4 linked regions of the Drosophila melanogaster genome follow. The protein of the gene in region 1 purifies or fractionates together with the protein of each later gene. This does not show direct contact. Each region holds a gene or a part of one and is shown in the gene's direction. Other genes may lie near its edges.

Region 1 (6,092 bases):
AACTCCACTTAGAGCGACCACCTGCTTCATATTGGCGTTGCGTGGCAGAAAGAAAGCTACGTCAGATGCCAGGCTACGGGACAGCTGCATCAGTTGGCTAGCACCCACGGGCAGGAGACCTGTTTCGATATCAAAGGTGGCCTGCTTTTGGTAGTCAGGACCACCCCACGGAGGGCTCAGGAAAACCACATTTGGGCGCAGCTTTGTGCTGGCCGCAAACTGCAGAAAATCGGCGTGGATAAACTCGATCTTATGGGCCACACCATAAATGCCGGCATTATGCTTGGCCATGGCCAACTTCTCGGCATCGATGTCCACAGCAATTACGCGTCCACAGGTGTTTGCAAACTGAATGGCATTGCCGCCGCATCCACAGAAAGCATCTACGATCACGTCGCAGGCCAGTCGTCGGGCCGTTTGTTTGGCAATCTTCTCGGGTGTCACCGAGAACCAGCTCTCGCGGTCCAGCCGAATGCCCTGATCGAAGCGGGAGAACAGCGAGAATCGCTTGACCCAGTACTTGACCATTTTGTTGTTATCCTCTTGCATGCACTCTGGCATCCTGGCCTTGAGTTTTTTTATTTGCCTTTGCCGTCGTTTTTTCTTTTTAACAGAACCGCTCTGAACGCCGTGCAGAGCCTCGTTTTCGTTGTTCTCCATGGTCAACAGATCATGATCGTCCTCGCTATCGCTGCTAGATAGTTCGTACTGTGTCTTTCTTTCCTTTCTATAATTAATTATATCTGCCTTCGACGCAAATGATGTTGGCAATCCGAGAAGGCGCAGCTGTTGTTCCTCGTCACAATCCTCGGGATCGTCGTTGGCAGTCAAGTATGATTCGTCCTCCTCTTTCTCTGTGACCCTTTGCTGTTTCGATTTTATTGGCTTATTTGTAAGGCTTAGGTTCTGCAAGTCCTCCTCAACATCTTCTGAGTTTTCAGCGACGTCAAGGCCAAATGATTTGGCCAAATCGTGTTGGTAGTTCTCAAAGGCACAGCTAAATATATACCAGAACTTTTCACTGTAATCGCTGGCGTGCTTCTCCCACAGTTCCTGCCAAAGGCCTTGCTCCTCCGACGAAACCACCTCGATAAGATCTTTGTATTCGGGAAACCGCTTGTGCCACTTTTGCTCGAGCAGCTCATGCCCCTCACGCTGCCAGAATTCTTTCCAGGTAACGTTTTGAATGCCCCCCCAATTGCAATTATTCCAGTCGAAATCGTTACCAAAGAGCTGACTGAATATATAGAACTGCGGATTGGTTCGCGAGGTGGTCAGGTGGTGTGTGTTCATTTCTCGATCAGACTTCTCATCTCCAGCCTGCGAGTCAGCAAGTCCTCGGCTCTGTCGATGACCTGGATGTACCATAAGTCGATGGCCGGTCTGTAGGTGGCAAGTAGCGCGCTGAGATACTGTTTTTGGGCCAACGGATCGTTGGACAGACTATTGATCTTGTCGTAGACACCGCCGGCGGTCAGTTTGGCACCTTTGGGATGCTGCACATTATGTAGCACCACTTCACCACGCACAATGCAGTAGCGGCCGGTACTCACGCGATTTTCGACGACTTTGTCATGGGTAAGGCCAAGAATAAGCAAGGATACGGTGCCCTCGCCCAAGGAGTACTTCCTGAAAGATGCAGCATCATTGGTAAGGACCGGATGGATAGGTAATATAGAAAAACTTACTTTGGCAAACACTTAACGCGCACGTTTTCTAGGCGGTACTGATTCGCCTTGAACGCCAGACGTCCAATTAATGCGCACTGACCGTAGTGCAGGTTGTGGTAGGAAGTTTCCAGCTCCAGTTCCTCCACCAGCAGGGTCTTGAAGAAGTAGCAGTACTTGGGCGCTCTCGAGGTAGAGGCTTCTGGCACCAGGGACATAACTCTCTTGGAAAAAAACCAAGAATTCCGAACAAAATCAAAACACCCGGAATGATAAACTCAACATGCTTGCTAGTGTGACCAACGTATCTACGCACGATGCGACCCACCTATCGATAGCTTCTTCGCCAGTTATAGCCCTGCCTTTCTCATCACTAAAAACAGCGACATTTTATTGTGCAAATTAGAATTTCTTAATATAAACTTTAACAAACTGAGCAGTTCTTAGCTCACTATGTCTTTTATGAACCCCGTGGATATGGTGGATGAGGACGCCGCCGACCTGCAGTTTCCCAAAGGTAACCAACGCCCTACACCAACCGAAATGCAACTTACAAGTGAAACTGGCTGAAACCTTTGGCTTCGAGTGCCCCAAAAGTGGCACTCCTCCACATTTTTACCACACTGAATTGCCTCTTTGCAGTTGAGCCACTGGGGCCACAGGTTAAGCGGTTCATCCATGCACATCAGAATGAACACACCAGGAACTCCATGGTTTTGTATAATCCGCACACGTTGCACAGGTACTTGGAGGAGATGGAGGAAAAGACGCGGGACCAGAATAGCAGTGTTCCATCGGCTACAAAGGATGCCAATCGGTGTGCCACATGTCGCTGCAGTCTCACAGAGCCGTACATTAAGTGCTCCGAGTGCCTCGACACCCTGCTCTGCCTGCAATGTTTCTCACGTGGAAAGGAGGCCTTTTCTCACCGCAATAACCACGCTTACATCATAGTCCGCGACAACATACAGGTTTTCGCCGATGAGCCACACTGGACGGCACGGGACGAGCGCATACTGCTGAAAACACTTCGCACCCACGGCTATGGCAACTGGGAGGCGGTCTCCCAGGCTCTGGACCAGCGCCACGAACCCGCAGAAGTGCGTCGTCACTACCACGATTGCTACTTTGGCGGGATATTCGAGCGGCTCCTTAATCTGAAGCATGCGAGGGACAGCTATGTGCCCGAGCGAATGCCGTATGTCTTCAAAATGCGCAGCTTGGATCCACCACGTCATGACGACATCGCCTCCATGCAGTTCAGACTAAGCGCAGGTTACCGCTGTGCAAGAGGAGACTTCGATACTCCGTACGACACCTCAGCAGAGAGTCTGCTATCTATTATGGTGGATCATAGGGGCAGGGATGACGACAACGAGGCGTCTGAGAGTGAGTTTGAGCGCGAAGTGACAGAGGAATTGCAACTCGGACTAGTTCGGGCATACAACAATCGCCTCAGGTATGATCTTATAACAGAAAGCTACTAAAAAAAATCTAATATGCATATTTACTCACAGAGAGCGCCAGCGTCGTTACAAGATAATGAGGCAACACGGTCTCATAATGCCCAATCGCACCGTCAGCTGGATTTCCAAGTACGTGCACGCCTTTGGCAGCGATGCGAGTTGCATGCGTTTCTTGGGCTTCATGCAGATCTGTCCTGACCCCATTAAGTTCGATATGCTGTTGGAGTCTCTGCGTTATTATCGGGAGCTGCATAGCCAGCTGCACAAGCTATACGATCTGCGGGAGCACGGCGTTCGAACTCTTTCCGGAGCCAAATTATATGCCCGCTTGAGCAAAGAACGTCAGCAGGCTCAGCGAGATTACAGCAGGCTGAAGCAAACAGATGCTTTCGACTGGCAGCAATTGGTGCAGCATTACGAGAGCAACAGGAGCGGTGATCCTGGTCCCCTGGCCATTAACTCAAAGTTATATGTGATGAACACGCGTCGAAAGGCCAGTCCCATTGAGATTGGAGGTGGGAAACACTTTACTCATTGCCTGACACCAACTGAATATAATTTTTCTTTGATCCCAGATCTGCCTGGTTACTCCAAACTGGATGATGGCGAGCGAAAGTTGTGCAGTGTGGCTCGTCTGGTTCCGCAGTCGTATTTGGACTACAAGAATCAACTCGTTACGGAGCAAGCAAAGCTCGGATATCTACGACTGGCCGATGCGCGACGTCTCATCAAAATTGACGTGAACAAAACGCGTCAGATCTACGATTTTCTGCTGGAACATGGCCATATCAGCAGACCACCGTCCTATGGCTAGGGCTAATTTTTTCTCCAATGTTTCACTTGTAAATTTCCTGAATGTCGTCAAGTAACTAATTCAAGAAAAAAAAACCCTTTCGTTTCTCTTTGTTTCAGAGTTCGAAAATGCCGAGACGCTGCTGATATCGGAGGTGCACATGCTTCTCGATCACCGAAAGCGACAAAACGAATCCGCCGACGAGGAGCAAGAGTTCTCCGAGGTCTTCATGAAGACGTACGCCTACACGGATAGTTTTCGAAAGTTCAAAAACAAGGAGACCATAATGTCTGCGCGAAGGTAATGTAGCAAAACCGAACAAAGCACGTACGAGTAGTAATATTCAATTATTTCAAATTCAGCTTGCTGATGCAGAAAAAGCTGCACAAATTCGAACTGGCGGCACTGGGTAATTTGTGTCCGGAGGCGCCCGAGGAGGCCAAGGCGCTGATTCCTTCACTAGAGGGTCGCTTCGAGGATGAGGAGCTGCGCCAAATACTCGACGATATCGGCACTAAACGCAGCTTACAATACTAATTACTACTACGTATAAATATAGTTTAGATATAAAGTCATGGTCCACTTACACAATAAAGTGAAGAACAGCAAGAATTTTAAGTAAATGCAGAATATACACTGTAACAAAAATCAACAAAGTCTAAATACAATGTAATTATATCAAACAAAAGATTTACTTAAAAAAAAGTATATATAAATTGAATTTGCCGCTTGAAAGAATTGTTTGTCTAGTGTTGCCAGACTGCTCACATGAAAGAACTTATCGAAATAGCCGTCACATCTGGCAACTTGCTGAAAGGCCCGCACTTGCAATTGTTTTCTTTTTCCTAATAATTGCAAGCGAACAATATTTCACAATGAACAAGGACAACTCCAGCATGAAAATGGATCCGCAGCTAGCCCTACGCCTCCTGGCTGATGGCGGAGTGCTGGTCATCGCCGGTGTACCCGAGGGCACGGAATTCGGCATTGATCTTTGTGCCTACACCATTGGTCCGGATTTCCGAGGCGTCAAGATGATTCCACCCGGAGTCCACTACGTATGGTGCTCCTCCCGTGGTCCCTACGGCGATGCAGCCCCTCGTGTTGGATTCGTGCACTTCTTCCATCCGAATGAGATTGTCGTACGAGAGTGGGACCACGAACTGGAGGAATTGCGCCCGCGGAGGATTGCCGAACCGGAAGTGGAGCGAGACCGAATACGCAAAAACCTAGCCCAACTGGAGCGCGTGCTGGCGCCGTACGACTATCGTTACGTGGTCCAGTGGAAGGAACTCACCGGCAGCGTGACGGAGTCTTGCGTGGATCGCTGCCGTCCGACAGAAGGAACCATCCGTACGAACATCGAACTGCAATCCTGCCCGGACGCAGATCGGCCGCGAGGTGGAGCCGCTACTGTCAGCATAAGCCGCCGGAATGCTGCAGCTCGGATTCTCTTAGATGAGAGCGAACTCCTACCGGACCTTAAGCCCGTGGAAGGAACAGCTCCGCGCTTCACTACCGTACCCCTGCGTGTTCCACAAGATGCCCTGCCCGCTGATGTTTCCCGCCATGCCTTGGACTGCATCGATGCTGTTGACAAACTGCTCGAAGGCTTTGAAACGGCCGATGGACTCATTGAGGAACTGCAGCTGGCTTACGCATTTTTCCTAGTGGGCTACTCTGTGGAGTCTCTGGCCCACTGGCGCAAGCTTTTGGGCTTGCTGGCTCACTCGCAAACGGCGGTCACCAAGCACAAGTTAACGTACATGAAATACAGCGAGGTTTTGGCCCACCAGCTGCCCCATCTGCCCGAGGAGCTGATGGTGCCTGGTCCGCATAACACCGTCTACAAAGATGTACGCGAACTGCTGGTCAATCTGCATGCGGGCGGCTTAAGTGTCAGCGCTGAGCGGCTAACTAAGCGGCTGGAGAAAAAATTGGGATGGGAATTCGAGGGCCTGCTAGACGAGGATCCCGAGGACCAGCCTGTAGTCATCGAACTTCCGGAAGCCTAGGAGAAGGGCGCTACGCATGTGAAGTGTAATTCATATATTTGTAATACAATGGACTGAAACTGATCTATATTGATTTCTACTTTAACGCAGCGAATGCTGGGTGCGCAAGTAATTCCACAGATCCCGAGCCGTGCGGATGCTGACCATGAAT
Region 2 (6,028 bases), on another chromosome or scaffold:
CTATTTAATCAAATATTCATCGAGCATCGTATATATTTTCTCAGTGCATCGGCTGGTAGCAGCCCCACTAATAACGCTAATGGCTTCGATTAAGTGACAGCCAGACGGCGTTTGTTTGCCCCTCACGATGGGGGGATGCCCCCATATCCTTCCCTTACTTTTCCCTTTGTGCCAGGACCTGGCCTTAAATCGTTCGGAAAACGGTCAAGCCATGGCCGTGGAGCTAAGGTGCAATAAGTCTGGTGATTGAGAGCAAATACGGTTGTTATGAACAAAATGGGTGGCCAAACAAATTCTAACCAGCATCGCATCTGTAAATGTCATAATCAGCTAGTAAACGACTATCCAATTTGTCAAGCTCTTTCCAGAAAATATTTACCCTCGAGCTTTAAGTGATTTATGAGTGAAACTCATTTTAACTTTCGCAAAACTAAGATATAGATATACTTTAAAACATAATTCGGGGATATACTTTTGGCTGTAGTAGCACCAACAAATTAATTTGTTTCACCATATTTTTCGCTCTTTTCGACTTGCCAGCGGGCAGTCGCGAATTAAATGAAAATCTCCTCGAGGCGCCAGACAAGCAAGTTGAAAGGAATTCAACTACAGATATTAAAGGCAGGGAAGAACTTGAAGTGCAATATTCAAATTGAATTGAAAACGATGAGTGTTGAAGTGAAATCGTAAATAGGTGCATATCCTGTAAGATGCACAAACTGCATGCTTTGCAGTAATAATCATTCGGCAAATAGAAAGTGATTTACAAAAGAAACAATTGTGGATCCGTTCAGCTTTGGTTCTCAACTGAATACCCCACTTAGCCGGCCTGCAGTTTCGACCATCCCACTTCAGTCCATAAACCAATCATGCACTTCATCAAACACACAACAACAGCAGAAGCAGAAGCAGAAGCAACAGCTTCGCCAGAACGCAGCAGCCGGCGATGCCTAATTAGGCCCGCTTAAGACAACACACTGACCGGGCCAAAAGCAATGGGGCCAGGTCCGATGGTCGATGGTCTGCCGGAAACAGCCTTAATTATGCGTAAGCCGTAAAGAGCCCATTAATGTCATTTTCGTTGCATGGCCAAAGGACGCTGGGCGTTGGGTGGTGGGTGGTGGGCGTTGGTACTAATGTGCTTGGTGGGCGTAGGGCGTGACAAACGCATGCTTGATCAAGCGAAACGGGACTGTACTAATCAAGCGGATTCTTATCTTCTAGATAGGGAGAACATAAAAAACAATCGGGATCTTTTATATAGTGTATATAAGGGCATAAGGATATGCTAGATTCGTTGAAAAGTAGGTAACTGGCATAAGAAATAACAAAAGAAAAAGTCATTCCCGACAGTATTAAGCATATATATGTAATCAGGATCAGTGGACGAGTCGATTAAAACGTGTCCTTCTGTTCGTCCGTATAAGCGCTGTGATCTCGGGAACTTAAAAGTTAGGAAGCTAAGATGGAGCAATCAGATTCTAGACATGTAGACGCATCACAGTTTGTTTCAGAAGAATGCCACGCCCACTCTAACGCCCACCAAGAGCTCAAAACTTTTAAAAAGTGTTTTGATATTTGCTTGCAATTTCTAAAAATGTGACAAGAAAATGTTGAATACACCTGAGAAGAGGGTATATAATATGCGAAGACCATAGCCTTGTCTCTGTTCCATATTAATTAAAAATGCTTATTTATGACATTTTAACAATAAAAAATTATTTTAAATTATGTTAATGCTGACATCTTCGGCATTTTAAAACGGCAATGTTAATAAATAAATAAGTGCTTAATAATAATATGTTTTGTAGTGCTTCAGAAAAGATCAATTAAGAATACAAATTAATTTTATTTTTTGTTTTCCCAATTCAAATTATTGACAAATTTGAACCGAGCACAGTGCGATTTTTTGGTATTTTCAAAATGTAAGCTTCTCATATATATGGTATAAACCAAAAAGTGCGAAACGGTAACACACAAACAACACATTATTTTGTTGATTGTTTTTAACTTGCAATTTGTGCTGTTTTACTGAGTAAATGAATCGGCCCAGTAACTGGGATGATCCCCAGGGACCATGCCGCTACTGTGAATCGCCGGTGGAGGACGACAACTACCTGGAGTGCCAGGAATGCAGGCGGATGGTTCACATCAAATGCCTGCCGCATGCTTGCACGCCCGGAGATCTTTTAGGCGACGTTTTCTTCGAGTTCACGTGCGTCAAGTGTGTGCTGGATAAAGCTAAGGAATCGGTCATACCCTCAGATCTAGAACCCATTAAGGAAGTGATCGTGCGCCAAAGGATACCTTGGCTGCTGGTGCTCACCCTAACGCTCTACAATCTGTCCATCAAACAAAAGGGCTTGGGACACCATGGATTCTTCCATTGGCGCACGCACATCATCAGTTTTGTGGACAAGAACTGGAACTATATATTCGGTCCCAATGTGTAAGTATTCGTAAATGAATAATTTCCGGAGAACACATTCAATTTATTCCCCTTGTTCAGGCGGCGTCGCAAGCAATGGACTGGTTCCGTATCCGGCGCACTGTCCCACAACAGTCCGGAGTACTTTCAGTCTGGTCTGGATGTCTTTCAGGAGAACGGCTGGTGGAAACTGGCCAAGCCCTTTCAAACCCCAAGAAGCGTTCTCAAAGAATGTAAGTGCCACTTAAGTTAATGATATGATAGATTTCACAAGTCGTCACATTTCAGATGAGAAAAAGCAACAGTTGCGGCTACAAATGCGTATTGAAAAGCGGTTGCCTGCAGCGGACGAGACCAGCTGTAGCAGCGAGATCTCAGTGGCGGATCATGCCCAGGATAACCCACCGCTTATTAAAGCAGAAGCTGAGAAACCCAGTTCAACAGAGGGCTGTGCGCGAACAATGTAAGATAATTAATTTTGAATACAACTATGCGTTCCTTTCATTAAAATCTTTCACTTTTATTCCAGTCCCTACATGGGCCGTTTGCCAAAGATACAAACACAACCTTCACCCTTGTCACAGGAAACGCTTCCAGGGCCACCAATTCTTCAAGAAAATATAGCGCCACCAAGTCAGAAGGAGGAAGAACCACAGAATCAGCCTATGAGCATGGTCCAAGCAGGCCTGATGGATTTTCTGGCTGAAAGTTTGGAAAGCGATGATTTTACCATGTTTGGTAACCTACCAGGCATAATGCCCCCACCCCTGATTGGAGCGGGTAAAAATGATTTCTTCATGACCGAGCCGTTGCTTCACGCACCTTTGAATAATGAAGGTCTTTTCGACATGGATACAAATTTTGCCATACCAAATACCGCTGATGAGACCAAACCCATATCAACAGAAGAACCTGCAGCCGAAAGCAGCGAGGAACAAAAAGAAGGCGAGGTAGAAGATGAAAAGCCAGAAGAGGACGAATCACCCGACTATCAGCCACGCATCGTACAGGTTACAAATTACCAGGCGCAAGAGGCAAACGAAAGCATCAAAGAGGAACCACTAGAAGAGATAATGCAAGATGATGACGTCACGACAAATAGCAAATCCTCTATCCTAGAGCCTTGCAAACCGAGTGGATTTGTCAGACAACCACGGCGAAATTGGCCCTGGTTGCAGGAGGCGCAGGATCCCGATGACATGGCCATTCCTAGCGAAAATCTCAAACTAATAAATGCATACGAAGAACAGAAGTTGTACCAGCGACTCGATAGAATATTCGCACTGGAGCATCAGTGCCACATATCCATACCTGCCTATGTGCGGCGCCTATATCGAAAACTTTCTCTTCGAAAATGGAAAAGGGACCACAATCGACACATATTTAACTTGGACGAGCACATAGATCCCCTGGGAAGAGCACGCCTAAAGATGCTGGGTCATCAGAAGGCCGAAATTCTTGACAGATATCAGTTGTTAGCCCATTCACGACAAGATGCAAGGAGCTCCTTTCACGCCCGCCTGGCGGGATGCACTCAATACGAGCTCTTTGAATCGCCCTACTCTCAAAGAGTTCTTCATCCATTTATCTTTCGGAGCGAAACGATGGCTCCTCCATGGCTGAAGCTTATGTGCGAGCTGCAGCATAGAGTAAACGGATCTCATCCCACAAGATCTACCATCGACTTCTGTTTTGTGAGACCGCAGCATATTCCGGCCGTAAACGCATTACTCCAAAGTACTTTTTGGCCAAACATTGATGGTGGGTTTCATGATTTTCTTTTTAGCTTTTTTAATGTACAAATTTGTATGATTTTTTCCCTTTTAGTAAGCGAGTGTTTGAGCTACCCGGACTACAGTGTAGTGGCGTTGTACAAGAAACTGGTCATCGGTTGCGGATTCCTAGTGCCCGACGTAGGTTACAACGAGGCCTACATCTCATTCATGGCGGTGCGGCCGTGCTGGCAACGCAGTGGCATCGCCAGCTTCATGTTATATCACCTTATCCAGACATGTATGTCCAAGGACATAACGTTGCACGTTTCCGCCACCAACGCGGCCGTCATGTTGTACCAGAAATTCGGATTTAAGATGGAGGAAATCATCTTGGACTTTTATGACAAGTATCTGCCTCTGGACTCGAAACAGAGCAGAAATGCCTTCTTTTTGAGATTACAAAGATGAGACTTTTTTCAAATAAATGGTTTATGAATCTAAAGTTTCAAAAGACTATTTCGAAAGAGAATTTTTGGTTGCCAAGGTATGGCTTTGGCGCACCCAACTTTATTAGTTTTAAATTTTAACCTAAAGTAGTTCTGCTTAGAATTTGCCAAATTTAGGCGAATATTTTTTCCTCCCTGCGCTTTTTGGTAACCACCGTGCCAGGCTTGTGCTGCGCTTCCGGGTGATTCATTAGCTCCGGCGGACAGGTCGAGACAGGACTTGCAGACACACATTGCTTTAGATCGTAGAACAAAGCGCTATCGTCCTTGGTGACAAACGAAATGGCACAACCGGTTTTGCCGGCACGACCCGTACGACCGATACGATGTGTGTAATCCTCGATGGTCTTGGCCATGTCATAGTTAATAACCAAGGACACGTCCTTGATGTCGATACCACGACCAGCGACGTCGGTGGCCACCAGGATGTCCTTTGCGCCTGACTTCAAAGCAGCCAAAGCATACTCTCTCTGCTCCTGACCCTTGCCACCGTGCAATGTGCACGAGTTGTAGCCGAGTTTCTCCAGACCCTTAGCCAAAACATCGGCGCCCTTCTTTTGATTAACAAAGATAATAACTGGTGGATCGATTTTCCTCGAAAGAATCTCCATAAGCTTCTTGCGCTTGTCGTTCTCGCCCATCATGTACACTATTTGCTCTGTTCTCTCTGTCGGCTTGCCAACAGATCCGATGTAAACCGTTGCCGGTCGCCGGAGATATGTGCGAGCTAATCTTTCCACAGCCGGAGGCATCGTTGCCGTAAACATCACGGTTTGGCGGTACTTCTTCTTAGTGTAGAAGTTCTCCATCAGCTTTGTTTCGTCCTCAGCCTCCTCGGTATCGGGCTTCAGGTTGGTGACGGGCATGTACTCCAAGATCTTTTGAACATCTGGCTCGAAGCCCATGTCTATCATACGATCGGCTTCATCGAGGACAATGTATGTACATTGGTTCAGCACCAAATACCGATTTTCCAGCACATCAATGAGACGACCTGGCGTAGCAATGACAATCTCGCAGCCCAATCGCAGGCGGAAGCCCTGCTCCTCTCTTGACAAACCACCCACAACGACCACAGTTCGTATGCCCAAAGGTTGTCCAAACTTGGTTGTTTCCTCCTCGATTTGCTGGGCCAATTCACGCGTGGGAGCCATTATAATGGCATAGGGTCCTTGGTCCACATCCTCCAGACGCTCGATCTTGGGCAAGGACTGAATCCAAGAGAGCAGGGGTATGAGGAATGCCAATGTTTTACCGGAACCGGTCTCAGCGACGCCAATAATATCCCTGTTCTGCAAACCAATGGGTATAGCTTGCCTCTGAATGGGCGTTGGTTCCTTGTAGCCCACTTTGTCGATAATGTCGATGATCTCCTTGGG
Region 3 (6,646 bases), on another chromosome or scaffold:
AGTGGGCGTGTTTGCGGTCTGGATCCGAGAAATAGTCGTGTATATAATGGCCAGAGTGAGAGAGCATTTCTTCATCATTGACTTCTGGAGTGGAATTTGCATTCTGGGCCTGGCCATAGCTGGTTTTATTCTGCTCCTTGGCAAGAATTTGCACGTCAAATCCTGGTGGGCCATTAATGTGTAAGTTGAAATATTCGAATAGAAGCTATAATATTTTAATTGCCCATTTTTTTTTTTTACAGGGAATCAAGTCAGACAGATCTGAGTATTATTAATGCTCGCGTATACAAGTTCGATGAGAAAGGCGATCTAAAATCTTCAGGTTGGTGTTCATCTTATTGCTTTAATTTATCTTCTTTTAACATTGATATTTTCCTTCACAGACTCTCCCTACAAGCCGACAGTGACATCACTTTAACAGGAACTGAGATTATTGCTCATCTGTGAACTCTGGTATTCATATTCATTATGAATCATTTAGTCTGTCGCACACGGGAGAGTATATAAATAATAGTGCCTCAGTACTCTAGCATATTATGATGTACATTTATATCTTTAAGAAGAACCACATTTCTAATCACTTGTCACATTTACAAGGTGCCAAAATAAATATTATAATTCACTTGGATTAATAAGAATACTTTTGATTTGATGTACGCATTTAGTTTTTTCATCTTAATACCACATGTAGTCTCTACCTCCCCTGAAGACCAAAAAAGGCTTCCCGGTATGATCAACGGTAAATCATTCTTCGAAGGAAGCGCTTGACTCGATGAGGAGGGCCAAGTTAACTTGGGGGCCCGCCTGGATTAGTCGCATTTATTGACGCATTAGAGTGGGCATGGCTTAAATGTTGTTGCCATATCGATCGAAAATGGATAGACAAATAATAAAATGGCCTTGCAAGTTTTGTGCAGTTTGTGGGCTTGTTAATCTTCTCAAACAAACTGACGCTACCCGTCTACTTCCCTAATTTCTCAAGTTTCAAGCGTTTTAGTGTTCATTCACACATCCCACTCCGTCCAAGCAGTCAAATCGGGTATGCACCAGATAAAAGTAGTCAAACGGACCAAATCGGACGAAGACTTTTGAAAGGGAAACACCTATCGATGATATCGAATTTTCTGAAAGCGATAATATGGATATCCGGCGACTCGGACGATTTTTTTATCCAAGCAAAGGCCACACTTTATTTTTATCGTATATGTACATACATATATAATTCGCGGTTACGAGCTTTGCGCCATTTATTGGGCAACTTACCTTCAAACTATGCACAATTGATGCCCGCTATTTACAAACTGAGTAATAACGCGAATAACACTTTTTAAAATGTAAATTTCATATTTTTTCAATAATAATTTCCATAATACCAATCATTTTAATCAGCCCATTTTTATATTTTTCATAAGAATTATGTGGATGTACTCACCTATGAACTAAGCTCTTTGAACTCTTACGCAATTTCCCTGCAAAATAAATATATCCCTCTCATTAGGATAAGGTAAAAATTTTGATTGCAAATCTATCTCGTTGATTATAAAAACTTCAAAAAATCCGAATTTCGGTTTACATTTAACTTTGCGAAATATGGATAAAAATAGTAGCCAATATTGCTATATTTTTAAGAAATTTATAAATTTTAAATTTAAGAGGAAGACCAATAGCACACCGCAGAAAAAAATGGCTGCTTTAGAGATCTTAAGCTTGCATCTCATTCTTTCATCCTTACCACCGCAAAGTAAAATGGCGGTGGAAGAAAGAGACGAAGATATATTTTAATTGCTTAAAATCTTCCTTATCAACCCAGAATACAATGGCGGCGGAAGAAAGAAATTGAAACATAAAATTATGCTCTCTATTTTGTTTTAGATCAACAATGGTCACCTAGAATATAATGGCCGCTCAAGAGCATGAAGAATATTGTTAGTCTCTTCTTTTTAACACCAGTAATGAAAAAAATCGGAAAGACTACACACATGTACTTACTATTGTTTGTACGTATCCATTTGCTATCCATCACATATTTTGCATTTTAAATTAACATTTCCCCAATATTCACTGGGAATTCTAAGCCTAGCAAACACATACACTTGCACACTCACACACATGACGAGGATGAAAGAGGAGTGGAGAAAGCAACAAGCTTCTGGCATTGCCGTTACTTCCTCTTCTTTTCATACCTCGTAAGCTTTAAAAAACTGAACAAAAATGATTGCTGCTCTCGCAAGCTGTAATTTGCACGTGCAACATTGATTTCAATTAGACCGCTGCACATTTACTTGATTACCGAGTCACAAAATTAGTTTAAGTTTGCTCATTGCGCGTTGCAAACCTCGAAACCGCGAACTGTAAAAACGATAAGATAAAGTGTGACCGTGCTTGATATCGATCAGAAACTTTCGTCATGTAGAGATTATCGATACCTATTCTTCCTTTTTGGTATATACCAATAAATTCAGCTTCGATTGCCTTATCCTTCGTATTATTACTTTGATCAAGTAATGTCTTACAGGATTTAGCTGTGATTTAAATTTAAATGTAAAAAACGGCAACGCAGAAAATGATTTAAGTTTAACATGATTTTAGACGATTGAAGAAACTAATGCTATTGATGCTATATGACGAAAGCTATTTCAAAAACAATTTTATCTGATAGGTGAGTATAAGCCCTTTTCTATGTCTGGTCACACCGCAGAGATCTAAAAACGTAAACATTCATAATTAAAGCCATTCTTAGCCTTTGCTTAATAAACTTATTGAAGTAATGCCAATTATAGGCCTTCACTCGTCCCTGAAAGTGTTCTTCTGCTAAAATGCACAGTCTCGGCGCCAGCAAAGTCGTTGCTACTCTCCGAGCGGATGGTCACGTCTACCCCATGGAGAACTCCAACCTGATGCACTACGAGATCGTAAGACTCGCGGTACCTTGCTTGTAATTCACACTAACCGAGGCGACTCCTTCATAGCGCACCGAAGGGGATGTCCAGCAAAAGAAGGGGATCCTGGTGGGTCCGGCCACATGCGTTGACCTGGGCAAACAGCTGCTCCAGTGCGCCAGAGACAGCGATGTAGCTGGGGTCAAGGCGGCGCTAGCGCATGGAGCTCCCTTCGCTTCCGACTGGCTAGGTATGTCGGCACTTCACTTTGCCGCCATGAACAATCAGCTGGAGATTTGCGAAATCCTCCTGCAGGGGGGCATTAACATGGATGGCAAGACCAAGGTAGACCGAACGCCGCTCCACCTAGCCTGCTACTACGGTCACGAGCGGATAGTCAGCTTGCTGCTAGCGCTAAAGTGCAGCGTCAACTCCCGCGACATGGTAAGAATATATAAATAAATGACTGTTTAAAATGACTAACCAACATTCCTGTCAGCTTCGCATGACCCCGCTGCACTGGGCGGTCGAGAAAAAACACAAGGGAATTGTGCGCCTGCTACTCAAGTGCCAGGCAGATGTCACCTTGGTCTCCAAATTCGGCAAGACGCCGATCGGACTTGCCGTGTACACGGAACAAGCGGATGTGCTGGCGGAGTTGGAAGCGGCACGACAGGCGCAGGCCAGTAAGAAGTTACACGAGGAATCGGAGGTGAGTGCGCTTGAAGAAATCCACTGAAGGCCATATTTACTACTTAATATGAGGTTTTACTTACGTTTCGCTTGGCTGTTCCTTATTCTTAACAATACAATTGATCGCTGCCTTTTCCCACGCTGCGCTTATCAAACTTCAGCAACAAGCACATAAGACCAAAGTATGTACTTTCGACAACTTGTATTAGGTTGTCACAAATAATAGCAAGAACATTCCCAACTTTGGCCTACATTCCTGATCCTAAAAAATTGTGACAAATACTTTATTCCCAATTGATTCGCAGAAAGAAAAATCATATCATATTTATTCCCCATCGATTTGCAGAAGGAAACCAATGAAGCTGTCAGCTCAATAATGGACGAACCGGAAGTAATTAAAACCGTGGACGACAAAGAAATGTCGGTTGAAGAACGAATGGATGTCCTAGAAAACATGCGAGGCCGTAAGTTACTAGATTCGGAGATATTAAACGAATATTTAACGAAAAACCTATTTTCCCTGCCAGATGCAAACGTCCTGCGGAACACTGCGCTTTACATACTAAAGACGCACGAAATCGCAGACATGGTGCAGGACAACGATGACGAGGACTCGAAAGAAATGCTGAACACTGCGTTGCAGAATGGACGCCAACTTGTCCTCTCTGAAGGAGGACGCATGCTGCTGCACGAAACAAAATCGGGCATCAGCGGCAAGCAATCCACGAACGGAAACGCCCGGCCTTCGGTCGCAGCGCTCCGCACAAATGTTAATAATTCTCATCCCAAGATTCGGATGAATGTCCTGAAGCAGAAGGATCTTCCGTCACCGGCGGGAGTTGCCAAGAACAAGGTATGCATTTCATTGTTTTGTTTCGCTAATTCGTATAATAATTAATATTTGAGGGCAGAATATACGCATTATCTCGTTGACTGATTTTAAGAAACTCTACGGATCGGACAGCACGGCAAAGTCCCTTCAGAAAATACCCGCCTCATTGGCAAGGTACGTTAATTTCACATATTTGGGAGATATATATAAGATCTTGCCTTATCGACAGCTCTGGAATGGTGCGGCATCTTCCCGATGGCACAAAGCTAGTCAACATGCGCCAGTTGCAGGCTCGACAGGTGAATATTAAATAGTTTCTGAGCTCACCTCCTTACTTTACTTGAACCCCGCTTAATTAGTTAAAGCTCCCCTCCCTGCAAAGGCCGCAGGATCTCACTGCGCTAGAAGAATCACACAGCCAGAACGAAGCCGCGGTCCCATCCCCACTGCCTTCAGGCCATCCCGCGTCGGGCAGTTCGCTTAGGGGACAAGTGGGCACCGTCCAGACGATACAGCTGCGACCTTCACTCTCGGCAGGATCCGGCCAAGGCGCAGTAAACAACGGGGCGGCACCTGGCAAGACAATCGTCAATGCGACGAAGCAGTCGCCGAAATCTCCGAACGTGATGCCGCTGCTAACTTCTTCTGAGATCTGTCGCCAGCTTCACGAGTTGCGGCGTCAAAACGAAGACCTGCGGCGGCGGGCCGACTCCTTTCAGCGGGAAAAGGAGGAAATGCTGAGGCGCATTGACCGCCTGGAGCAGATGGTGCTGGTTCAAGAGTCGGAGGCGGACTTGGATTTTGGAGAGGACGTTTAGTTAATGCAAAGATAAGTTTAGCGTAAGTTCGATAAGGTATATTTAGGATATTCAGCCGATAAGTGCATTTGTAAAGCACCCAGTTTAATGACGATTTCATACCATTTCTTATCGAAACCTTAATAACTTGAATGCTATGAGAGCTTTAAACCAATTCGGATGTCGATAGAAATATATCGTTTAAAAAATTCATTTTCAATCCATAATCTGCACAAGATGTAGCATTTATTTAATACATTTACATAGCTATTAAATCGCACCAGTCTTTTATATCTGTTATTTTCCCGTTTGGTCGAGGTCTTATGAGGTTTTTTCCCTTTGGGCATATGTAAGCTATCCTCTAATTTTAATCGGCAGTGTATATATGGTCGATTTAAAAGATGGTCTACTCAAAATAGTAAATATTAAAATAATAAAACGCGAGTTAATCAAATGAAAATCTAAGCGCCAATTACAATGCGGTATATTGTAGCGTTAGTCAATTTTTAAGAAATCAGTGTTGGATAATTTATGGAGTTATCGATAGTGTGGAATAGTCATCGATTTTGCACGTGTTGTTTTTATTCAAAACAAAAAAAATATGGTAAGAGGATTGTCTCTTGTTGCTTAGCTTTCAATACATACTTTGCATTGGCAGCGTAAGAAGCAGGCGGATGAAATACCAGGCTTTCCATCACTGGACAACGATGCCGGCACCAGCGACCGGGGCGCCGACATTCTCAAGTCCAAGTCCAAGAAGAACAAGAGTGGTGGATTCCAGTCGATGGGCCTGGGCTTCGAGCTGATAAAGGGCATCACCAAGCGGGGTTACAAGGTTCCCACCCCCATACAGCGGAAAACGATTCCGCTGATCCTGGAGGGACGCGATGTGGTGGCAATGGCCAAGACGGGCTCTGGCAAGACGGCCTGCTTTCTGATTCCGCTCTTTGAAAAGCTACAGAGGCGCGAGCCCACAAAGGGGGCCCGTGCCCTGATCCTGTCTCCGACGCGCGAACTGGCTGTGCAGACGTATAAGTTCATAAAGGAGCTGGGCCGCTTTATGGAACTGAAGAGCATTCTGGTGCTAGGTGGCGACTCCATGGACTCACAGTTCTCGGCCATACATACCTGTCCGGACGTAATTGTTGCAACGCCAGGTCGTTTTCTTCATTTGTGCGTAGAAATGGACTTGAAGCTAAATTCCATAGGTGAGTTGATAGTTGCGGACCATAAAAGCAGGAATTAATTTATTTGCTCTCTAGAGTACGTGGTGTTTGATGAAGCCGATCGACTCTTCGAGATGGGCTTCGGCGAGCAACTGAACGAAACGTTGCACAGATTGCCATCGTCCCGGCAGACGGTCATGTTTTCAGCCACGCTGCCAAAACTGCTAGTAGAGTTCGCCCGTGCCGGACTGAACGACCCAGTGCTCATTCGTTTAGACG
Region 4 (5,559 bases), on another chromosome or scaffold:
CTATGAAATAACATTGGATTTTCGGACTTTCCGTCGACGGTTTTTGGAGCGTCAATGGAACGCCTCTATAATGTACGAGTAGACGCTGCCTGGCACGTTTACATAAATATAATTTTGTAATTGTTTTTTTTTGTATGGGGACCAACTGCTAACAATACCTAAATAAAGTACACTGTTGTGCCAAAGTTAACCAGACAGCTTTTTCTCTTACCTCCCACTCGAAGTCCCCCCCTACAAGGTCTCCTCCTAAAGTCCTAATATCACAAGCGCAGATTCCAATCATCCGTTCTCATCACCTGGCAACCTGGCGACGGCAGGTACTTCTGTTCATCTGTTCATCAATTCATCTGTTCATTTGTTCATCTGTTCCGCTGGTTTATCCATCTACTACTCCCTAGTTTCCTTCTTCTCGTATATGAAAATGATGTCCTCGTCCGTGCCGTAGGCGCGTCGGGCCGTGTCCATGGACTCGATGAGGCAGCGACAAATGTCTGTGGAACGCAGCCAAAAACGAAAATCAATGAATTTTCAAGGATTGCTACCAAATGGAATACTCACGGCCATCGTGGACCTCGGGATTGTGGTAGAAGAGCTTCTGGGCGGCCATGTCATATCCGCAGAGCACCACATAGTGTCCGGCATACCTTTTGGGTCCATGGAGGCGTGTATTTTGAGCAATGCAGGGTATATGAAAACAGCTTTTCATTCGAGTGTGGATTTAAGGTGGTTTTTTGTGAATCGCCGGTGGCAAGAGGAACTCACCCGAACTTCTCTAGGACATTGCGCTTGCACACCTCGCACGTGAGCAGCGAGGCGTTGGTCAGCAGGATGACGGGTCCGTGGCGGGCCAAATGCCGCAGAATGACCTCCATGTCCACGGTGCGCTGTTCAACGCGCAGTCCATGGGCCCGGGCGTCCTTGAACTTGCGCGTCACGCGCCGTTCGTCCTTGTCGATGATCTTGGAGTAGTACGTGTGCTGCGCGTAGTTGGGATCGATCCCGAGCGTTTGGGTGAAGTACTCGTGGCGCACCTGGCCAAGAAGAGAGTGTCAAAGAAGTGAGCGAATGCAAATGTGCATCACGGCATGCCCACCTGGTAGCGCATCAGCAGATAGCACAGGTCGATGGTCCAGGTGCTCGAGCCAAATCCCTCCTCGCCGCACACGGCATCAAAGTTCCCAAGAAGCTGTTCCCTTTGCTGCGCCGACAGGATCATAATGATGCAGGACAGACCGCAGTCCCAGTTGTAGCGCTGCTGGTAGTGCGTCAGGTTGTAGTGCTTGCTCGGCGGCAGTCCGTTCATTCTGGCCAGCAGCTGGGCTCTTCTTGGCTTCTTGTGCTCCTCGGGTCCTCGAGTCCTTGGCTCCGTGTGCTTCGCGTGCTCCTGTGCCCGCGGCTGCGCTCCTTTGATCCTGGCGTCCAATTGGAAACTGAACTGGGAATGTTTTGGTCTAACAGCTTGGGCCAGTGTGGCCAGGTGCAGCTGTCTGCGGAATGCCAACTGTCGGCTATGTCCAGTTGAAAAAAATGCCAATTGAATTTTTTTAGATATATATTGTAAATATTGTAATTAAATAATATTTATACATAAATTGTGAGTCGCCAAAGGAGTTAGATGTATTTTCCTACAAATCTTGGTTGCTGCTAGGAAATTTTTGGTTTGAAATCTTAAAGGCGCAAAAAATGTTCTAACACTATGTAAATCCTTCTTAAGCCCTTCAAAATTGACAGTTCAGTTAGAATTACCTGCAATTTTAAGACTAAATAACTACTGGCAATTGGTATAAATTTAAATGCAACTGTACGCGAAACTTCAAACATGTATGAAACGATCTGGCAACGTCGAGCTAACTGCATGCAATTTGGCATCGATGTGCCCGATGCACTCCCCCTGATAGTTTCAGCGGGAAACTAAGAGTCCCATTCTAGAATCATCCCCCAAGGACGAAAACATCCCAAATCTCCCTAAAAAAAAAAACAAAAAGCAAGGAATCGAGTAAACACGTTCCACCACCGCTGTGGCAATCCGTGGCTGGTGCGCAACGGCCACACTGACGCGCTGACCAATTTTTAGTTATTAGTGTGACCTTAAGCATTATTATTTTCACGTGTGGCACGCAAACGAGCCAAAAAACCAAGCGCCTATTTAAACAAACAAATCACACGCCCAGCAGAGAGAGCAGCCGGTGACCACCGGTAACGGGAGTAGCTGCAGTTAATCCGACAGGCCCAACAAATTCGCCCGCTAATTGGCGGCGTTTCTCTAGTCGGAACAACAAGAAGAAGAAGCACGTGTGCGGCGTGCCAAAGAAAAAAGGAAAATAAACAAGGAGGCCAGGCCAAGGAGCATAAGCAGAATCCGCATCCGGAGGACATGGTGCCCATCGGAGCCGTGCACGGCGGCCATCCCGGCGTAGTGCATCCGCCACAGCAACCACTGCCCACGGCGCCCAGCGGCCCAAACTCGCTGCAGCCGAACTCGGTGGGCCAGCCGGGGGCCACCACCTCCTCGAACAGCAGCGCCTCCAACAAGAGCTCGCTATCCGTCAAGCCCAACTACACGCTCAAGTTCACGCTGGCCGGGCACACCAAGGCGGTGTCGGCGGTCAAGTTCAGTCCGAATGGCGAGTGGCTGGCCAGCTCCTGTAAGTACATACATCCCTATCCACGAATATCTGGGGGGGAATTTTATGGTACTGAACTGCTATTGGACTGAACAGGCAGCTTTGGCAGCTCAGTTAATGGGAATTGGGATGAAATAAGATCTCGGAAAAGAGAAGAAGCATTTATAGAATACATATTGTACATTCCATACATACAGCACATGCCTATTAAACTTCCACTTCTAACCCTCAGCCGCTGATAAACTAATCAAAATCTGGGGAGCATACGATGGCAAGTTCGAGAAGACCATTTCGGGCCACAAGCTGGGCATCAGCGATGTGGCCTGGAGCTCAGACTCGCGACTCCTCGTGAGCGGCAGTGATGACAAGACGCTCAAGGTCTGGGAGCTGAGCACCGGGAAGAGCTTGAAAACTCTGAAGGGCCACAGCAACTATGTGTTCTGCTGCAACTTTAATCCGCAGTCCAATCTGATCGTCTCCGGCAGCTTCGACGAGAGCGTTCGCATATGGGATGTGCGCACCGGCAAGTGTCTGAAGACTCTACCCGCCCATTCCGATCCCGTTTCGGCGGTACATTTCAATCGCGACGGATCGCTGATCGTGAGCAGCAGCTACGACGGCCTCTGTCGCATATGGGACACGGCCAGTGGACAGTGCTTGAAAACCCTGATCGACGACGACAATCCGCCCGTCAGCTTTGTAAAGTTCTCGCCCAATGGCAAGTACATTTTGGCCGCCACGCTGGATAATACGCTCAAGTTGTGGGACTACTCGAAGGGCAAGTGCCTGAAGACGTATACGGGTCACAAGAATGAGAAGTACTGCATATTCGCCAACTTCTCGGTGACGGGAGGAAAGGTGAGTTCATATCTTATGCACATTTAGGCTTTAACTCACAAGCGTCCATTGTAGTGGATCGTGAGTGGCAGCGAGGACAACATGGTCTACATTTGGAATCTGCAGAGCAAGGAGGTGGTGCAAAAGCTGCAGGGACACACCGATACCGTTCTGTGCACCGCCTGCCATCCCACGGAGAACATCATTGCTTCCGCGGCGCTCGAGAACGACAAGACCATCAAGCTGTGGAAGTCGGATACATAGAGTGGCTGGTATCCAGCTGGAGGACGTTCGATCGGAACACACACATACATTTCTTGGATAATATTATTTTAAAGCGAACAGCCTAATCGTAATTGTAACACCCCCACACCCCCCCACCACGAGCCCCCTTTTTTTTTTGTACGCATAATTTAAAAAAGAAAAGGAACTCTAAAATTCTACGTTTAAATCACACTTTAAACCTCACATTCTACGGCAAAACGGAAAAATTACAAACAAACAAACAAAAACAAAAAAAAAAAACAACAAAAAGTGAAAACAAAAAAAACGATTAATGTATAAATATTTATTAGCCTATTGTATTGGCCCACCATGCAAGCGAGAATATTCCCCCAAAATTGTTTGTAACCTTTGACACAGCCACGCAAACCAACATAACTTATAATGATCTTTCGGTGACGAGAAAACTAAATTTAAGCGTAAAAGATACAACAGGTGCTCGGGGCAGAATCCCAGCGCCAGAAAGAATATATATAAAATACGAAATGTAAATTTTGAATAAAAGAAAACACCGTCTCGGCGGCGCCCAAGTGTCCTTTCAACTTGCGCGCTTTTCGAGGCGAGACACTTAAATGTACAAATTGCATTTTATTCACATAATAAGAGAAGTTTTAATTCTAAAAAAACATACAGTTTAGCAAAATTACGAAACAAACGAACCTTCATTACGGTTTAAAAGCGATAATAAGTACGTTTAATATATTACGGTTTTTAAATGAATGAACACAGGTATAATACTTAACGTAGACGTTTTCTTTAAGTTATTTATTTTTAAACTCTAGCGCCTATTGGAGTGCGACCCTGCGTTGAGTTCGGTTGAAGAGGGCCACACTGCCCGTTCAGTTTGAACGTTTGCCACTGGATTTCGACAACGGCGCGCGACGGTCACTTGGCGAAACGAAAATCGAAAAAACCGACGAATCGAAACTCGGAGATCACGGATTCGATTCACTTGATTCAGAACCTTGCCGAATCCGAATGCCCCTGCGATGCGCGCGCCAACCCGCTGAACAAAAGTCGCCAAGTGAATTTTGCAATTAATTTGCAAATCAATATCGCTCCGCCGCCGTCGCGCACACACACACACACGCAAGCACCCGCACCGCGCACACATACACACACACACACACACATAGGGACCGCGACACGCATAGTGAGAAAGAAGTGGCAATATAAGCAAAAAAAAGAAAAAAAATACAACGGTCGTGGGAAAATCGATTTTCCTTTTAAACAAATCGCTGTTAGCTTGAGCTTTTCCAAGCGCCTCTGCTGCAATTCCTTCGTTTTTTTTTCCTGTGCAAAGTACGCCGAGAGAGCGGCGTGAACCGGTGCAGAGAGAGAGAGATTAAGTGAGAAGGGGTGAGAGAGTGGAAGAAGGTGTTCATTGGCAGAAAATTAGCAAGGCGACAAACGTTTATAAATATAAACACATATATTCCAATATAAAAATCGCAAATATTAATGACGAGACAAGAGCGCCTGCAACAACAGCAACAACTGCAACAACAGCAGCCCAGCAACCAGGGATTCTAATTCGAAAATAACCCAAACAAATCCAAATCGGCGGGAGCGACAAGGAGGAGAGGAGAGTGCTAAAGAGAGGCGCCAACAAAAGTGTATCATTTAGGAGCGGCACACCCAAGAACGCGGAAAACTCCCGCCCACCCTCGCCACGCCCCTCGCCGACCAGCACACCCATTACCAATACCAATAACAGCAATAATAACAACAACAACAATAACAACAACAGTCTGCAGTGAAGAAACGCAGAGGAAAAGACAGGCGGAGACAGATATAAAACCCAAACATTCGGACA

Evidence for each region.
Region 2: the proteins of Ada2a (region 1) and Atac2 purify together in Drosophila melanogaster (affinity purification with mass spectrometry; 3 studies listed by BioGRID, with this or other methods). This does not show direct contact.
Region 3: the proteins of Ada2a (region 1) and Atac3 purify together in Drosophila melanogaster (affinity purification with mass spectrometry, with the first as the bait; 3 studies listed by BioGRID). This does not show direct contact.
Region 4: the proteins of Ada2a (region 1) and wds purify together in Drosophila melanogaster (affinity purification with mass spectrometry, with the first as the bait; 3 studies listed by BioGRID). This does not show direct contact.

The regions. Positions count from the first base shown.
Region 1 is NT_033777.3:18,251,409-18,257,500, reverse strand, and holds Ada2a (transcriptional adaptor 2a), read left to right. Parts: upstream 1-2,013; 5' UTR 2,014-2,120; coding exon 2,121-2,184; intron 2,185-2,264; coding exon 2,265-3,126; intron 3,127-3,184; coding exon 3,185-3,947; 3' UTR 3,948-4,045; coding exon of another isoform or gene 4,046-4,226; intron 4,227-4,288; coding exon of another isoform or gene 4,289-4,463; 3' UTR 4,464-4,658; downstream 4,659-6,092. Other genes in the region: Tgs1 (trimethylguanosine synthase 1), read right to left, coding at 1-1,293; moi (modigliani), read right to left, coding at 1,290-1,629, 1,689-1,885; Polr2D (RNA polymerase II subunit D), read left to right, coding at 2,121-2,184, 4,046-4,226, 4,289-4,463; CG12320 (uncharacterized protein), read left to right, coding at 4,802-5,941; CG18598 (uncharacterized protein), read right to left, coding at 6,023-6,092. UniProt on the Drosophila melanogaster protein: Component of the histone acetyltransferase (HAT) complex ATAC; predominantly involved in acetylation of histone H4, including at Lys-6 (H4K5ac) and Lys-13 (H4K12ac).
Region 2 is NT_033779.5:18,608,190-18,614,217, reverse strand, and holds Atac2 (Ada2a-containing complex component 2), read left to right. Parts: upstream 1-1,968; 5' UTR 1,969-2,039; coding exon 2,040-2,449; intron 2,450-2,509; coding exon 2,510-2,661; intron 2,662-2,716; coding exon 2,717-2,891; intron 2,892-2,957; coding exon 2,958-4,189; intron 4,190-4,255; coding exon 4,256-4,611; 3' UTR 4,612-4,642; downstream 4,643-6,028. Other genes in the region: CG10333 (uncharacterized protein), read right to left, coding at 4,763-6,028.
Region 3 is NT_037436.4:323,812-330,457, reverse strand, and holds Atac3 (Ada2a-containing complex component 3), read left to right. Parts: upstream 1-2,465; 5' UTR 2,466-2,659; exon of another isoform or gene 2,660-2,780; 5' UTR 2,781-2,816; coding exon 2,817-2,912; intron 2,913-2,969; coding exon 2,970-3,323; intron 3,324-3,378; coding exon 3,379-3,591; intron 3,592-3,733; coding exon 3,734-3,754; intron 3,755-3,918; coding exon 3,919-4,036; intron 4,037-4,099; coding exon 4,100-4,425; intron 4,426-4,483; coding exon 4,484-4,578; intron 4,579-4,633; coding exon 4,634-4,703; intron 4,704-4,763; coding exon 4,764-5,222; 3' UTR 5,223-5,473; downstream 5,474-6,646. Other genes in the region: mthl9 (methuselah-like 9), read left to right, coding at 1-180, 243-322, 384-418; CG32344 (uncharacterized protein), read left to right, coding at 5,803-5,805, 5,860-6,409, 6,464-6,646.
Region 4 is NC_004354.4:2,583,905-2,589,463, forward strand, and holds wds (will die slowly), read left to right. Parts: upstream 1-2,075; 5' UTR 2,076-2,374; coding exon 2,375-2,645; intron 2,646-2,856; coding exon 2,857-3,482; intron 3,483-3,536; coding exon 3,537-3,725; 3' UTR 3,726-4,313; downstream 4,314-5,559. Other genes in the region: CG13760 (uncharacterized protein), read right to left, coding at 388-491, 559-698, 763-1,031, 1,094-1,303.